Neurospora crassa OR74A: one gene and its partner. The protein of the gene in region 2 purifies or fractionates together with the protein of the main gene of each other region. This does not show direct contact. Links are inferred from orthologs where the notes say so. Each region holds a gene or a part of one and is shown on either strand. Other genes may lie near its edges. The genes, in order: pex10 and pex5.

Evidence for each region.
Region 1: the proteins of pex5 (region 2) and pex10 purify together in Saccharomyces cerevisiae (affinity purification with western blotting; 3 studies listed by BioGRID). This does not show direct contact. The link is inferred for Neurospora crassa OR74A from reciprocal best matches to the Saccharomyces cerevisiae genes PEX5 and PEX10.

Annotation. Positions count from the first base shown.
Region 1 is NC_026501.1:5,158,951-5,162,377, reverse strand, and holds pex10 (RING-1), read left to right. Parts: upstream 1-855; 5' UTR 856-1,128; coding exon 1,129-2,418; 3' UTR 2,419-2,752; downstream 2,753-3,427. Other genes in the region: NCU03278 (protein-ER retention protein), read right to left, coding at 1-272, 351-441; bem46 family protein, read right to left, coding at 3,107-3,272, 3,397-3,427. UniProt on the Saccharomyces cerevisiae protein: E3 ubiquitin-protein ligase component of a retrotranslocation channel required for peroxisome organization by mediating export of the PEX5 receptor from peroxisomes to the cytosol, thereby promoting PEX5 recycling.
Region 2 is NC_026501.1:8,571,152-8,575,069, reverse strand, and holds the start of pex5 (peroxisomal targeting signal receptor), read left to right. Parts: upstream 1-951; 5' UTR 952-1,492; coding exon 1,493-1,663; intron 1,664-1,736; coding exon 1,737-3,479; 3' UTR 3,480-3,918. Other genes in the region: NCU16466 (nucleic acid-binding protein), read left to right, coding at 1-107. UniProt on the Saccharomyces cerevisiae protein: Receptor that mediates peroxisomal import of proteins containing a C-terminal PTS1-type tripeptide peroxisomal targeting signal (SKL-type).

The DNA of each region.
Region 1 (3,427 bases), about 3.4 Mb from region 2:
CAGGGGTAGCACGAAGAGGGCTGCGGTCACTGCCAAGTTGGTCATGGGAATCCAGTCATAGTCGATAACGCGTTTTGGATCGCGCCTGGTAAACGACCAAAATGTGAGAATCGAAACAGCGGAGCTTAGCGAAAGAAGAGTCGCAAGACGGTATGTCGAGTGGTGGTGAGGGAGCTGGGTTGGGCTCGATCTTCCTGGGTACCGGATTAAGGAGGGGACGTCGATCTTGCGATTATGGAGGAAGTGAAGGTTGAGGCCCCAGCCCCAAACAGCTAATCAACCAGAGATAGTCAGTTTACAACCGTGTATCCAGAGAGCAAACATACGGTAGGAAACTTGTATATACATACCTATGATCACGATGAAGGCAACCCGGTAGGGAAGGGGAAAGGTCAAGCTGAAGGAGTCGAGCTCCGGCTCAACCACGGGATCACCGTCCATTGCGCCAGGCAGCGGTCAATTTGCTGTCCGTCATGGAATGCGGAGAGGGAGAAGTAACAGTTGGACGCAAAGAAGAGTTGATAGGCTTGGGATCAAATTCCCAGCAGTAACGCGTTTGGAGTTTGTCAAGTGTCAAGATGGAAATTTTAATTTCATCTGTATTGTGGTAGCTGTCGCAAAGACACCGGAGTTGCCAAGCCCCTGTCGCGTGCACTCTTTTTGGCTTAGGGAGAAGACCCGACGTCAGTGCAACCCCTGGTCGCGGCCCCGTCCTGTGACAACCCGCTGCATCATCCCTGCCGCTAAAGCCTGGGCTACGACGTTCTGGGCACCCCCCTGCCAATTCCTCAGCTCGCTCCTTGTGAGGAGGAACCACGCCTGGGGCGGCGCCGGGCGTGCTGCCCCCATTAACCCCAAGGACCGAGGTCCATCCGTTCCCGACTACCACTTTCATCTCAGCTTCAACTGCCGCCTGTCGATCTCGAAACATCAAACAACAACTCGGATAATTTCAGATCGAAAAGACTTAATCATCCACTGCCACAGCTTCGACGATTCGACTGTAGGCATACGAGCTCTCCTAGGGTTCGAGAGTTCCCCCTGAATACGTCGACCGTGTAAACACAGCTTTTGACCCCCCCGACTTCGAGCCCACCCGACCCGACCCAAACGACGACATCAATTACCATGTCATTGACGGCCACCAAGAAGCCTCCTCCGCCGCTCACGAGCTCGCCATATCCATTCGCTGCAGCCCCCGACATTATCCGCGCGCATCAAAAAGATGCCTATTTCCAGGGCGTCCTCACTAACCAGCTGACCGACCTTCACCGGCGCGTTCGCGGTGCCCGCTCCGCCCACTCCTGGGCCACCGAAACCCGTACGGCTGCCGACCTGCTCTACCTATGCCTCACCACCCTCCTCGGCAACCGCACCTTAGGCGAGGAGTACTGCGACCTAGTCCAAGTCGAAGAGCCGAGTACGGGCGGCAACGGCAGGATACCAGACACCCAAAGCCCCGTCGAGCCCAGCAGCGAAGCCGGTGGCCCCCGTCTGCCCTCGCTCCAGCGACGAGCCGGCTACATCGTTAGTAGCGTTCTTGTCCCCTACCTTTTCAGCCGCCTGCTGCCCTCCATCCGCGCCGCGCTCCGCAAGCGCCTCCAGGACCGTCTCACCGTGCTTGCCCGCCAGGGCCGCGGCGACACCAAGGGCGCCACCCCATCTACCTCCAACAACAAGGGCGGTGGTTTCTCCACAGTGTCAACGCTTGAGTACCGCGTGAAGCGCTACCTGCTCACACACCTGACTTCCATCACCAGCGGCGCGCACCTGCACGCCTTGACGCTGGCCGTATTCTACTTTTCGGGTGCTTACTACTCTTTCTCCAAGCGCCTCTTCGGGCTGCGTTATGTGTTCACGCGGCGCATCGAGGAGGGTCAAGGCGGTCGCGCGGGCTATGAAGTGCTCGGCGTGCTGCTGGTGGTGCAGATGCTCGTCCGGGGATACCTGCATGTGACGGCGCAGCTGTCGTCAACTTCGCCGCTTAGTGCCGAGGAGGCCAGTACCGAGGCGAGCATTCGGGAGCGCGCCTTTGGGCCGGGCGCTGCGGGCACACTGGATGTGTCGTTAGATGAGAATGCCTATAGCAGCAATAACGAGTTGCTGGTGGAGACGGGCAAGTCGGGTAACCAGCGTAGTTTGGCGGAGATTGGACGGACGACGCACACCCCTGTGCCCAAGGGCGGGAGGGCGAACTACGACTTGGCGGCGAATGAGGAGGTCATGGGCTGGATCAAGGGGAGACAGCAGAGGATGTGCACGCTTTGCTTGGAAGAGCTGAAGGACCCGGCGGCGACCCAGTGCGGACATGTCTTCTGCTGGTCGTGTATTGGAGACTGGGTGCGCGAGAAGCCTGAGTGTCCGTTGTGCAGACGTGAGACGATGGTACAGCATATTCTGCCATTGAGGGTTGCTTAGAGCAGTCCTTTTCTGGCGGTCGGGGGGGACAAAATACTTAATATACGGGAGATATGACAAAAAGCAGGAGTCTTACAACGTCCTCTCGAGAACAGATTTTGGGTAGTATTTGCACATGACAAGGAGCGAACAGTCAACAACTGCGGTTTAGGGATAATTGTATATGCAGCAAGCATATTGCCAGGAGAGAGAGCCTGTTTTCGTACATAGCCTAATGATTGAATGATCCGACATATTCTCAAAAGGTCAGGAACTTTTGACAAGCTAATGCACATATGTTCAAGTATGAAATTGAATTATTCCTTGTCCGATATTAATATTTGGTATTTACTCTACAAAAACTTCTCTTGCTTGATTAATATCGAGTCTCGTCCCGTTTGGGTCTTAATCAAGACCCGAGCAACCTCGACATAGGTCCAAAGGGTCATGAAATACATACACGAGGTGCGAAAGAGAAAATATGACACCTCAATGAAAGCCTCAAGTTCCGACCCATCTTCAAGCATCAAGCCACCAAGGTCGTGGTTGTCGTACTTGTGCTTCGCTGTCCCCCAACAGCTCGTAATCGTGGACGCTTTCGCGTCATCAAGATCGTGGGCACATCATATGCCTCCCCTTCAACAGAAAGACCCATTTACCGTATGGAATGAGGAGAGAGCGACGGCGCGGATTTCGTTGTCGAATCGAGCTATTTCTTTTCGGGGTCTCCTGAGGAAACCCTTTGGATGAATTCTGCGATGGCTTCAAAGTAGCCTTCTTCGAGGACACTCGAGTTATGGTCGCCGTTGGGAAGAGGCTTCCAGATCTTTATCGGAGCGTTGGAGAGATGATAAAGCTGCTTCATATGAGTGGGTCTAAGATGCGGGTGATGGAATTAGCGGACAGCTCTCATGCAACCCAACCGGCCACAACCACAGACCGTGGCTCAGAGTACCATATTGTGGAGGCACAATGAGAAAGGCCAGGACAAAAACTTACGGCACAATCTCGTCCTGGAGTCCACTCAAAA
Region 2 (3,918 bases):
GTGGCAACCGCAGCTACAACCGCGAGGGTGGCGACCGCAGCTACAACCGCGAGGGTGGCGACCGCAACTACAACCGCCGCGACCAGGGCGAGTCCACCGAGTTCTAAACTAACAAGCCGCAATCGAGGGCATGTAATGGTTACGACATGACTGGGTGAAGAGGATGGGAAACGGATGTAATGGAGGGCAAAACTGGGCAAGTTCGGTTTTCAAAAAAGAAAAGAGGCCGGTTGTGTTTCTTGACAAATGTTGCCAAAATTGGGGCACATTGGGATTGGGAAACTGTGGGATTGGTGTTGTGGCGCCTTTGCAGTACGATCACTCTGCGTACATCATCCTGACCTTTTGCTTGCAATGATACCTGTACAACTACGAAAAATCTTCTCTTCTTTCTTCTTACTGCGACTAGTTGTTTTCGTTTACCATTTTTTGTTGGTTATATCGCTGTACATATGTACGAATAGAGGGGTGGTCTTCTGTACCTTCTTTGCGTCCTGCATCCCGTATGCGTGACGTGACGATCTGCTCGAAACGCATCGTTTGATTGTTCATTTTCCCTTTCAACTTGCGTACATTGCCGTGCTGTCGGCATGCGAGTATGATTTCCGCACTCCGCTGTCGTCCGATTGTTCTCGGCTGTCGTTTGAAGGAACGAAGGGATCGATGATGGATCCGGGGGCGGGGGCGGGGGTGTACTCCACGGGCCGGGCTGGGGTTCGGCTCCATGTGAGGTGTGGTTGACAACACTCCATTGGCGGGGTTACCAGTAATAGCCGCGGCCAGGCAACAAGTGCCTGAGGTGTGGCCGGCAACTGCCACAGCCCAAAAAGACCTAACAAGAGCGCGGTGAGGTGGATATGATGGCTGGCTGAGGTGCCCTGGCTGCCTCGGCATTTCCAGCTGTTCAGGTGGCGCACGGCGGTGCCCCCCTTGTGCCCCTGAGTGACCTGAGCTTTTGGCGCCCAAGGTTCCAACTCACTTCAGATGCATGCAGAGCCCGATTTCTAACCACGCTGCTGCCATCCACACATGCCGGACCCAGACAACCCGCCCGTGCATCCGTGGGCTCCCGTCGTTACTTACAAGACAGCACACCTGCCACACATCCCGCGAGAGTCGGTCAACTTCTTTCTTTCACCTGGACAACTTCAGTTCTGGACACCGCCGCTTGATCACTAATTAATCAACTCCACGAGCTCACCACGCCCGTGCCTGGCTTGTTTGTTACTTCCACTTCTTTTTTTCTTTCCCTCTTCCAAACTAAAGTCATCCTTCCTTTGCCCTGCGCAAAAATCTACCTAGCTACCGCTACTTCCAGCCTGCCTCTACAACTTGCGCGGGCCGCTGCTTTCCCAACAGTCGACCGCATAGCGCTCTACTTCGTCTACCAGATAGTGTACAAGAGCCGCCCATCTTGTCTTCTGTCTTGGGCTTCGTTGTCAACTTTCGCCGAAACATCGCCATTGTCGCATTAATATCCAACATCTTCAAAATGTCTTTCATGGGTGGAGCCGAGTGTTCGACGGCGGGCAACCCGCTCAGTCAGTTTACCAAGCATGTTGGAGACGACAAGAGCCTCCAACATGACAGACTTGCCAACAGAGGTCCCAATGCTGCGGTTGGTGGCTTCCGGAGTATTAACCGCGGGCCTGGCCAAGATGAGGTAAGGAATCTTCATGGATATTGTTGACGGCAAGGCATGCGCTCTTGGCTGACATGACGATCCTCTCGAACAGATGGTGAACGGATTCCTAAACCAAACGCCGGAGATGGCTCATATGCCTCTCGAACAAGGACATATGCTTCACCTCGACCCGAGCCAAGGCGCCCACATGCGCGCCCCGAACGCCTCGCCAGCATGGGCTCAGGACTTCCACAACACACAGGCGGCTATGGAAGCCGCCTTCAATGCGCCGCCTGGCACTCAGTTCAGCGCCGATGAGTTTTCAAAGTTCCAGCAAATGCACCCCGCCGCGGCGCCGGCCACCGCCAGCCAGATGCCTGCTCAGCGCCCCATGATGGGTGGTGGCATGATGGGCATGGGCAACATGAACTACAACATGATGCAGCGACCCATGTACCAGCCCATGGTCGGCATGCACGGCCCTCAGATGCACAACATTCCCCAGCAACAACTACAGCCCGAGGGCAAGGGTAAGGGCAAAGTTGTTGAGCTCGACCAGAACAAGTGGGAAGAGCATTTTGCTCAGCTGGAGATCAATGGTGACGAGGCCCGCGCCATGGAGCCCGAGCTCAACAAGATGGACGAGGCGCTACTTCACTCCGAGACTGGTGCTGGCGATCTCGAATCCATCTGGCGCGGTATCCAGGCCGAAAGAGACGCCATGAAGGAGTTGGACGAGATTGATGTCCAGGACGACTTTGCCAAGTTCGACAGTGAGAACCTGGAAAAGGAAGATTGGACGCTGAACGGCAGGCTCGGCGCGGACCCTATCGTGCAAGAGTACCTCTTCGAGGAAGATAACCTCTTCAGGGAGACACCAAACCCATTCGAAGAGGGTATTCGTATCATGAAGGAGGGCGGGAACCTGTCGCTAGCTGCTCTGGCCTTCGAGGCTGCGGTCCAGAAGAACCCCGACCACACCGAGGCGTGGGTCTACCTCGGACAGACGCAAGCCCAGAACGAGAAGGAAGAAGCTGCCATCCGTGCTCTCGAGCGTGCCATGAAGCTCGACCCCAACAACCTCTCTGCTATGATGGGCCTAGCCGTCTCCTACACCAACGAGGGCTACGACAGCACCGCCTACCGCACGCTCGAGCGCTGGCTGTCGACCAAGTACCCCAGCGTCATCTCACCCAGTAACCTTTCCTCGGCCGCTGACATGGGCTTCACCGACCGCGCCCAGCTGCACGAGCGCGTCACCAACCTCTTCCTCGAGGCGGCCCGCCTCGCTCCCGATGGCGATCACATGGACCCCGACGTGCAGGTCGGCCTAGGCGTCCTGTTCTACGGCGCCGAGGACTACGACAAGGCCGTCGACTGCTTCCAGTCGGCGCTGCACTCGACCGAGCTCGGCACCTCCAACCAGCGCGAACAGATCCACCTGCTCTGGAACCGGCTGGGCGCCACTCTCGCCAACAGCGGCCGCTCCGAGGAGGCCATCGCCGCCTACGAAAAGGCCCTCGCCATTCACCCCAACTTTGTCCGCGCCCGCTACAACCTTGGCGTCTCGTGCATCAACATTGGCTGCCATGCTGAGGCCGCGGGTCACTTGCTCGCGGCGCTGGACATGCACAAGTCTGTAGAGAAGAGCGGACGCGAGAAGGCGCGCGAGCTGCTGGGCGGCAATGCGGGTGATAGCGACTCGCGTATCGATAACATGATGACGCAGAACAGGAGCACGACCCTTTACGACACTCTCCGTCGCGTGTTCACGCAGATGGGACGGAGGGATCTGGCGGAGAAGGTTACTACGGGCGTGGATCCCGAGATCTTCCGTGGTGAGTTTGATTTCTAGAGTGAGTCAGAGTTGGAGTTGAAAGAAGAGGCTCAGGAGTGGATGGTTGGGTATGACGCTATGGAGGATGTTTACTACGATGTTGATGTCGAAATGGAGAAGGCCTTGAAGGAGGAGCAGCAGTGGTGTGATGAGGACTTGGACGAGGGTTACTTGTCGAGTGAGGCGAGTACACTATGTTCGGATGATTATAGGGAGTTTTGGTGAATATACAAATATTAAGTACTGTACAAAGCGAATGTAGCTGGCTTGTCGGGGTTGTTAACAGCTTGTGTTGGGGAGTGAAAAGTCGAAGATGGGGCTTGGTGCTTTTCGGCTAGTGGTGAGTCTGGTTTTGCATTTGCTGGGTGTCGTGTGTTTCTTTCTTGCTTCACGATGGTGAGCGGAGAAAAGCGGATTGTGTTCACAGACACATACATAGATAGATACGATACATAGG